Drosophila melanogaster: one gene and its partner. The protein of the gene in region 1 interacts with the protein of each later gene in a biochemical or structural test. Each region holds a gene or a part of one and is shown on either strand. Other genes may lie near its edges.

What was found. Proteins that work in one complex are often made in the same cells at the same time.
Region 2: of the proteins of tkv (region 1) and Smurf, one has a biochemical effect on the other in vitro, tested with the Drosophila melanogaster proteins (one study listed by BioGRID).

Annotation. Positions count from the first base shown.
Region 1 is NT_033779.5:5,241,081-5,245,720, reverse strand, and holds the start of tkv (thickveins), read left to right. Parts: upstream 1-1,581; 5' UTR 1,582-1,645; coding exon 1,646-1,739; exon of another isoform or gene 1,740-3,022; intron 3,023-3,100; exon of another isoform or gene 3,101-3,502; intron 3,503-4,214; coding exon 4,215-4,352; intron 4,353-4,543; exon of another isoform or gene 4,544-4,615; intron 4,616-4,640.
Region 2 is NT_033778.4:17,591,234-17,595,799, reverse strand, and holds the start of Smurf (SMAD specific E3 ubiquitin protein ligase), read right to left. Parts: upstream 3,010-4,566; 5' UTR 2,488-3,009; intron 2,333-2,487; 5' UTR 1,951-2,332; coding exon 1,896-1,950; intron 1,835-1,895; coding exon 1,796-1,834; intron 534-1,795; exon of another isoform or gene 517-533; coding exon of another isoform or gene 1-516. Other genes in the region: ND-51L1 (NADH dehydrogenase (ubiquinone) 51 kDa subunit-like 1), read right to left, coding at 1-516; CG30105 (uncharacterized protein), read left to right, coding at 3,383-3,772, 3,837-3,914; icln, read right to left, coding at 4,034-4,562. UniProt on the Drosophila melanogaster protein: E3 ubiquitin-protein ligase which accepts ubiquitin from an E2 ubiquitin-conjugating enzyme in the form of a thioester and then directly transfers the ubiquitin to targeted substrates.

The sequences.
Region 1 (4,640 bases):
GCGGGCCAACTTGTTGTAAACAAATTGAAGTGGCACTCAGTGATCCCCTGCTCCGCCGCTCTTCTTCTTGTGTTGGCCATTACCAATTGCACTCGGGTTCAACCCTTACCCTCGACCATTCCCCATACCCAATTCCCTGGGGATCGAATTGGATGGGATTGTATGGACGGAGTGGTATAGGATGGTATGGCATGGGGACGTGCCTTCATTAGGCCATGCAGAGCGCGTAGGCAGAATGTGTAAACACACATCGATTTCCATTCCGAATGCGTCTCGTGTGCTATGCGTAATTTTAATTGATTTCATTTACGCATTTTTGACTAATGTTCACACGCCGATGCATCGGACTGGCGGGGGGTGCAGCTCATTTAGCATGGACTCGGCGCGTTGATGGACAGAATCCAACTCCAAATGGCTGCATCGGGGAATTTATTTTTGGCCCTATCGTCCCACTCTCGCATCCGCCGTTCGCCTGGTTTTCCCCACCCAGAAAAAAAAAAACCCAAAATCTGTAACATAAATTTCACTTTGATCTATTTTTGAGTGGCCAATGCAAGTTTGCTAAATTCTGTTCAGCAGAAGGAATATTTAAAATTTTTAATTGCTACTAGAGTGCGCGCACTCAGCGGCGACGACCCAGTTTCAAAACATCTTTGCTGGCCAGAATCTCGACTGGGTTAGGGGATTTCTAATGGTGGTGAAAAGGAGGGAGCACTAATCTCTAGATAGCATTTTTATGTTACGAAATATACAGTTTTACTCTAATTAATGTGTGTGACACATACTATTTTTAGCCATCTTCATGCATAAGCATCTTATAAAACAGCAAAAACATGGTATTACATGTAGGAAATGTGATTCACTTTCGCTAAACACAACTTTAAACGCACCCCCACTTTGCTAATTGCCCATTTTGGCTATCGTAACTCCTATTTTACTTCACTTTTGATTGCCTTGGGGTTTTCTTCCCCATTCTGCCATCAATCTCCAAGTTGACATCCCAACCACGAGCGATTTGGAAAGAAACGTGTGACTTACCGAACGATAAACTGAAAGTAAACCTCCAAGTTGCCTGGGCCATCAATCAATCAGTCACTTAATATGAATATGAAAATATGAACCCGAACCCACAACAAATGCAATGTGGGTTTATCTGGCGTACATTCGCCATTCATTATTCATTGTGTGTTTTTCCTCTCGCCAGCCAAGTTTTCTTATCTCAGGCAACAATGTTGGCCGCGTTTTTCTTTGGGCCACTGTAAGTGCAACTTGAAAGGCGATTTTTAGGCCATTTTTGCAGTAAATGTAGCAGTACTTGAAGCATTTTGTAGTTGGACAAGGTTCAATGAGCAGGCAAACCGCTGAAAAGCCCAGTTACCCAGACCACACCCAATTGATTTTCACTCACTGACCATCTGAGAGATGCGTTTATGACACCAATCGACTTGAAATTTAAACAAGCAATATTTTAGATACATAAGCATGCCTTGACTTTACAATCAGTTGTTTTATATATTTTGCTTGTAACACACTTTTGATAACATGAAGAAAATTTACTGTGTGAAAAATTGTGAAAAACTTATTTAATGTATGGTTCGTATAAGGTGCCGTCCTAGTGCTTCTTGCGACCCTGGCAGAGAGATTGATGCGCCTTCAGCTGGTGGCCCTTGAACTCCAGGCCACATCTGGGACAGCCGACGGTCTGTTTGAAGAGATTGCACTAGAGGCGCTGACGCGGAGTAAGTTCGTCCTCGCTGGACAGCAGAGTAGTCGAGTTGCTGTTCAGCTCTGTGTAACCGGAGCTGCGAAGAATTCGCTTTGATGAATTTGATTTCGATTTGGTGCAGCGTGATGTGGAAGATCCCGAGGAGGAGAAACGGGTGTCCAAGTCCTTTGAAGTAAACGATGGCGGTTCCAAGCACACCATAATGGTACCGCGCTTCATTTTCTCAAAGCAAATGGGACAAGATACGATGTCGTTGTTGAGCAAGTGGGCTGCACGGTGTTCTTACGCTGCAAGTCTTTCATCAGGATGTCTTCTCCAAAAACATCGTCAATAATGGATTGATCAGCTAGTTCCGTGGCGGCTGTTAAACTGTCATTTGCCGGCCGCCTCATAATCGATTGAAAGGGTATTGACCTCGCACAAGGTCAATTCATCCTCCATTATCTAGCGCTTGATGTTCTGCGTGCGCTCCTGACTGCTCATGGTGTTCCTGCAAGCTGGCATCTTTAGCTCATCCTTTGACTGCGCTGCTTCTGTTCATCAATTTTCTTCATTTTATGTTATTAAAAAATATGTTACTATATGGAAGTGTTTGAATTTACATTAGAATAGCCTACTATGTTTTCGACCTAGTGTCATAGAGGCCTAACATTTTTGCCATTTGGCTGGGAGCCATTCAATTCGTTTGCCATGCAGTCGGCATTTGCTTTTATTTCTACGTAATTGCGAATCTTTTGAAGCGATGCGAACTATATCATCGCAGTACATTTTCCTACCCGTATGCATATTGATTGATAGCCAATTTGCACGTGCTCCACTTTGTGCCTGGGTTTTGCTTATTGTCGCCATGTTCTGCCCATACGAAATCAGTTCCCCTGGTCGCAGTTCTTTGGCTGCACCCACATGGATTGTCACGTTTGTGTTTTGTTTTGCTTTTGAGTTCTTGGAAATGTGTCGAACACAAGAGCCGCGAGTTTTCCACCCAGCAATTTGCAATCTTTGATAGATGGCTTATGTAACTGCCAGAGAGTGTAAGGCACAACACAACACAACACCAAAGTGGCGAAAATATTAGACGCGTCGGGGGAATTACGTCGTTTGGTCTGCGGGTTTCGAGTCGACAAGTGCAAGGCACTCAATCAATTAGCGATAGTCGATAGCCATAGACATGGGCTTTATCAATGCTTCGGTTAACTTCGTGGTTGCACTGGAAAATATTCGAAACTAAGAGGAGTTAGAAAGTCAAATTTTAGCAAGGCACTTTCAGCTAACAAATATTATATTGCTTCTTAAGTGTTGCAAAACTAAAAAATATCGCAAACCCCCTATCGATATCATTGAACTTTTTTTTTATTAATAATGTTTTTATTACTGTGTATAGCGGTTTCCCATAATTTACACCACTCATGTTACGCTAAAGTTTTATTGAGTTCCATTAATTTACGACTTTCTATGGTCGTAATTAAGATTATCCTTTGCTCGCGCTCCGCAATTGCCGCCGATTTTCCATGAATGGCAGCTTTTTATCGGACCTGCACTCGCATAATTCATTTTATCATTTTGACAGATTCGGAATGGAATAGCGACTTTCCTCGCCCACCCAACACGCGTACGAGATTTCAATTGCCCGTCGAGTGGCACACATATATTATACCAGCTCTCGAAATGAGACGCATCATAAATAATAACTAATGTTTTGATAAGACCCCAATGAGCGCCAACCACTTTTTCTGTTTATCAAATTACGTATGAAGTTTGCTCATTAATTTTGGCAAAGTGAGTGTAGGGGAAACATGGGTAGTGTAGCACACAGAAACCCCTGCAGGAGGCCTAACCCCTTTCGCTGAGATTGGGTCTGAGTCGCTTCCGCTGATTTGCACTGAAAGTTGCACAGTGGGGTTTTTGCACCTCGGTTTTGTATCTCGAGAAAGGGGGATTTCTTGGTCTTCAAGTCGCGCTCATTGCGTGGGCTTTGAGCCGTCGAGGAACGTCATCCTCCAAGTCTGTGGCGTGCAGACGACAGAACTAGACGTAATCTCGGCGAGCTGTCAAACAGTATCTTAAAGATGCCTCTCCGACTACTTGGCTGGCAACTGGTTCTGAACGCAGCCGTCTGCGGAGAGGCACTAAATTCTGCGGCCTTTTGACCAAGTTTATGACACACGTTTAGCTGTCTAGTTGGCCCACGCTCATCCGCTTTCAGCAGGAAGAGAGTTGAAGTTGCCCATTCTCCGTTGGTGCGACTCCCCTTTTCCTCTCCATCGCCCCTATGTGTTTCTATTTTCAATTAAGATCTCGTATTTCAGGCGCCCGACAAACGGGCAATTGTTGTTGTTAAATTATTAATTGACATTTGCCTGGCGCCACAGAAGAGCAACTCAAGTGCCAAGACTCCCACCCGCTCTCCCTTTTTTTGTTTACAAATTAGTTACACAGTTTTTCAATTTACTTATATTTCGTATTGCCCGTTTTTCTGTTTGCCCCGTAGGTGAATTCAGTGCGAATGTTCAGCCAGACGTCGAAGCTATGGCCGCCGCCGCTTTGAGTGGCATGGAAATGGGATCTGGACCAGGATCAGAGGGATATGAGGATGCCGACAACGAGAAAAGCAAGACCGTGGAAAATGGTGAGTCTACCATCTTAATAAAATGATTTAAAAAAGCGTGTTATAAATCAGCATCGAATATTTTGCATATCTTATCTTATTTTATCTTATATATAATATTAGTTCGGATTAATATAACTTATGATCATAACACTCGGATGTATAGATCAACAGCAAGTTTATATTTTGAATTTGGCGACCTAAGTTCAACATCCTCGATAGTATAGTGGTTAGTATCCCCGCCTGTCACGCGGGAGACCGGGGTTCAATTCCCCGTCGGGGAGATGTGTAAATAATTTTTTTTTTTTG
Region 2 (4,566 bases), on another chromosome or scaffold:
AACTTTCTCATCTAGTCGAGATTTCTTTCTTTTAGCCATATCTTTAAGCCTTTTTAACAAATTGGCCTCGAGTTCTCTTTGGTCGGCTGGATCTAAAACCTTCTTGGCATTTTCATTAATAGGAAATTTCGTTGTGGGCGGAAGTTTCTCAGCTGGAAATTTTGGGCAATCTACTTCGGATTTTTTTATGCTTTCCCTTTTTTTGGCTCTTTGCTCAGAGGACAGCAAATCGTCGTTACAATCGGTTTGAGATCCTTCTCTCATAATCAGCACAGGTTTGGCTGGCCGCAATAAGAGTGGAATAACGCTTTCAGCGTCACTTAGTTGGTTCTTCTTCACATTTTGTATGCTAGAAGTTCGGTATATGTTTACCAGCTTGATATTTCCAGTTTTATTACCAGGTCGTAAGGCATTTTGAAGGCTTTTTACTTCTGTTAAGGCTCTATATGCACGAGTTAGTCCTAATGAAATCTTGTAAGCATCACAAGCTCGGCGTTTTAACAGAAACGATATCATGCTTTCGTCTATATTCTTTATCTGATTAACTGAACTCTTTGGCAAGTGTGTTGAATCAAAGGAAAATTCAAAGCATACTACTTCCACATTTTTCGAACTTGATATGTTAAAAAAGTTTACATTACTCACAATAACGAATATCGGAAAGTCCCATTATGGATTTTCCCTATAATGACCGTAAGCCCCGCTGGGTTCAACTAAAATCTTATCACAAAGAATCGATAAAATATGAAGAACCAACTACTAGTGTACAATGTATATGGTAGTAGAGGGAAAATAGCAAATGAATGCGCCATATTCTGTAGTCAACCACGGAATTCAAGCATTAGCATTAATAAACAATTCATTTGAAGTGACACCAGCGGCCACAGACCCATTTTCGGAAACCCAAATATCCCCCTATTGGAATCTCACGGATAAGGAACATCGAATGTTTTTTTTTTTTTTTTAGTAGCACATTGAACAATGCGTGGCGCGTGATTTAAGTGCAACCAAGTGTACAAAAATGGACAAGAAGTGGAAAAAGCGAATAGTAAATCACAAATACACAGAAAGAAAAAATATTGCGATTGTATTTGTGGACGAGCGAGTGAGTGAGCCGCAATGAAAGCAAATTAGTAATAATCACTTTTGTTATATCTAACAAAATATGGGAAAAGAGCTCAGATATGGCGCACCACTCGCACTCACCCACTCGACTTGATGGGCGCGATGGGGGGAGGGGGCTTTTCCGCAATTTGTATAAAAATGAAAGTAGACAAGAAAGGAAGTGCTAAATTTAGCGATACCTTATATGCATAGATGAATGTGAAGAAGAGGAAACAGCAGCACCACAAGCGCCGCAAATAAAACAAAACTTTAATTTACCACAATGTGTGTTTCGATTGGACGGCTAAACAGGTGCGTAATTGATGGTTTTCGAAAAGAAAACCAAACGTGAAAACAAAGCTTGCTGGGTCTGGCGAATGCCAACTGCTCCAAATTTCCCGTAACTAACCAAAAGTGAGTCAAGAAATTAGCCCAAACATGTGAGCAAATTACGAAAATAAGTGATTACGCCAAAGGCATGCTGGGTAAATAGTTTTAAGGAATTTTTTGCTGTTACATTTAATATTTTATAACACTAACGATTAAGAAGTACAGGGTAAAACTTTTATGCTTTTGATGACCGGAAGTTCTGCTTTAGGAACTAATTTAGACCGTCCTATTTGACGGATAGGTGATAGGCACTAAGGAAATTAGATGCTAAGATATATCCAATTAATATTAAAATACTTACGAAATAAATCCTTGCGGGCCAAGTTTCTAGCACACAATACTGCAAGTAAAGCGATATATTAGTGGGTTTTATTAACAATTGTTTTTATCAGCAGACTTACTCGTTATTCGAACTTTGTGTGTACCATTGCGACGTGGGTAATCCAATTTATTCATAATTTTCGACTTTTAATTGATATTGTTTGATTTGTATAAAAATAAATGGATTTACTTTGTGTATTGATTATTTATATGTCGCGGGCATGTTGTTGTAGTTGTTGTTGTCGTTAAAGCGCCGAACGGAGAGCGAAGAAGAAGAAGTGCAAGTAGAAGGTGGAGGAGAGGAAGCAAAGGAGGTGTAGGAGGAGCAGGTGAGGGCGGTGAGAGGTAATTTCATTGCCGAAGGTAACTGCAGTTGTTATTGTTGCTGCTGCTGCTGTGGCGGTAGCCTTGACGGTTGCAATTGTTGTAGTTTTTGCGTTTGTTGCTGTGTGTCATGGCACACGCACATAGATATATTTGTATATAAATAATAACACCGATTTGCTTTTTTTATAGGCTGCAATCCAAAGATAACAAATGGAAATGGGTATTATTAGTAAGTTCGTTAGAGATAATGTGTGTATTTTCCCCCCAAGTGCAAAAACCCAACCCAAAAGCGAGGGCGTAGGTAGGAAATCGTTCAGGTAGGCAAAATATTCACGAAAAACTCACCCGAAATTGTTTTGCTGGTGTTGTTGTTGTTGCTGCTGCACCTCACACGCACATGTCTCGCTCACTCTCTCACGCACACACACACGGACGCAGTTCACGCATGCTGCAGGGGAGAGCGGGAGCGGGGTTCGATCTGTCTCTCTCCCTCTGCCACTCTATTATTTCACAAATTGCATTAAATGAAATACCACTGTGTGTTTAATTAACTTTAATTTAGTCGCTGCTCCAGTATGGGTGCCACACTATTTACTCGCACTAGTATTTCCTTCGCTATCGATGTGTGCGCGAGTGTGTGTGGTACTAAAATTTGCAATAATAATCAAAGGAGGCACACTTGTATTGTTCTAGTTCACTAAAAATCGGACGAAAACTCTGCGAACAACGCACGCCCACACAGTTGCTCGTCCACGGAACGCTTGATAGTGCGCGAATTATGCTGCCGCGGCCTCACGCGCTATTGTTTTACGGATTCCCATAAAAATTTAACTACAACTTCGAACGCCATTTTTATTAGTGGTGGCACAAAGTCTAGTGCTGAGTGAAAAATCGATTACTCTCTTATACTATCGATTTTTTAGTGCTAATATTCTTGGAAAACATCGCATATTGTCAAATATATATATATAATACGTATGTAGTCAGATACTAAATTTAAAACAGCATGAAAACTTGTTCAGTGATGGTAAACAGTGATCTCGTTACCATCTACAAGCTTTGATTTACAATATAATTGTATGTTTTTGTTATATTGTTACTATCGAATTAAACTACTATTGGCTATCGGTTGTAAATCGATGAGTTTAGCTGCTACTCAAACCATCCTTCTTAAGCGCAAACAAACAAACACATTTTGGCGGAGTTTTTGTTTACCTTTTATTTTGCGCAAAAAGTAACAATGTCAATTACTCTAGATTTTAATGGTAAGAACTTTGCCAAGGGTAAGAATTTAGACGTGCACTACTTGCCGGCCAAAATAGACGGCGATGGGGAAGCGAATGTAAAAAATTACTTCAACAACTACACACGTGAAGCAACCGAATTCGGCACAGGAATCCTGACGAACGCCTTGCGCGGATTTCCTTTAATGGGAGAGAAGTTGAAAGTGCCCGAAGGATACTGCGGATTAGTTCTGCAAGAAACAGAGAAGCCCATCAGCGATACCTCCGACCGAAAGTTGCGGCTAACTGGAGTATTTCAAGATTTTACTTACTGGAACTACGACAAAGTGCCGTCCAATGGCGATCCCTACCGACAGGCCCTTCCTCTGCCGGATGTTGCTCAAGCTGTATGTATATACCACTATATATTCTCGAAGTACACCTAATAAATACCACATTTTATTTATTTAGCTCTCGCAGCCCATTAGCGAAGAGGATTTAGAGAAAGAAATCGCTCGTAATAAGGAAAACGTCAAGGAAAGCACGTAGTTTTGTTTTAATCGCGCTTACCGCGTTCTATTTATTACTCCAAAATCTAATCCAATACATATATATCGTACATTTTATCTGGTATAAAACGTGGTATTGATGTTTAAATAGGTTATGCTTCACTCATCAGCGTCCTCGAATCGCTCTTCGTCGTCGTCCAAACTGAGATTCTGCACGCCGTTGCGCCCAAGCGTCAATGCATCATCCTCCTCCATAGCCTCATCCTCTAAGCCACCGGCATCCTGCATAGGATCGCTGTCTTCCGAATCACTGTTTGCCGAATCAGGATGTAGGGCCTGGCAAGTCGTCATGGCACTGTACATAGTGTCTACGGTGTGAATGTCCTCCGGCATAAGCCAGCACTCTGTGACCTCTCCAAATTGCTCGTCTACGGCATCCTCGAAATTGTCGTCCTCATCGTGCTCATCGCTGCCATTTCCCTCGTCCACTTCCGCTTCCGAACCACCGCCATTCCGACCATTGACTGCCTGCTGGGGAGGATCTCCGTAGACGCCGTTCCACTCGACTTTGTGGTCCAGCATGAAGTAGATGCACTTTCTCGGATTCGAAGAGATACCGTGCAGGCTAACCTGCTTCCACTCAATGGATATACCCTCCGCCAATTCAGTTGGCTGCCAGGATAGCGTGCTAG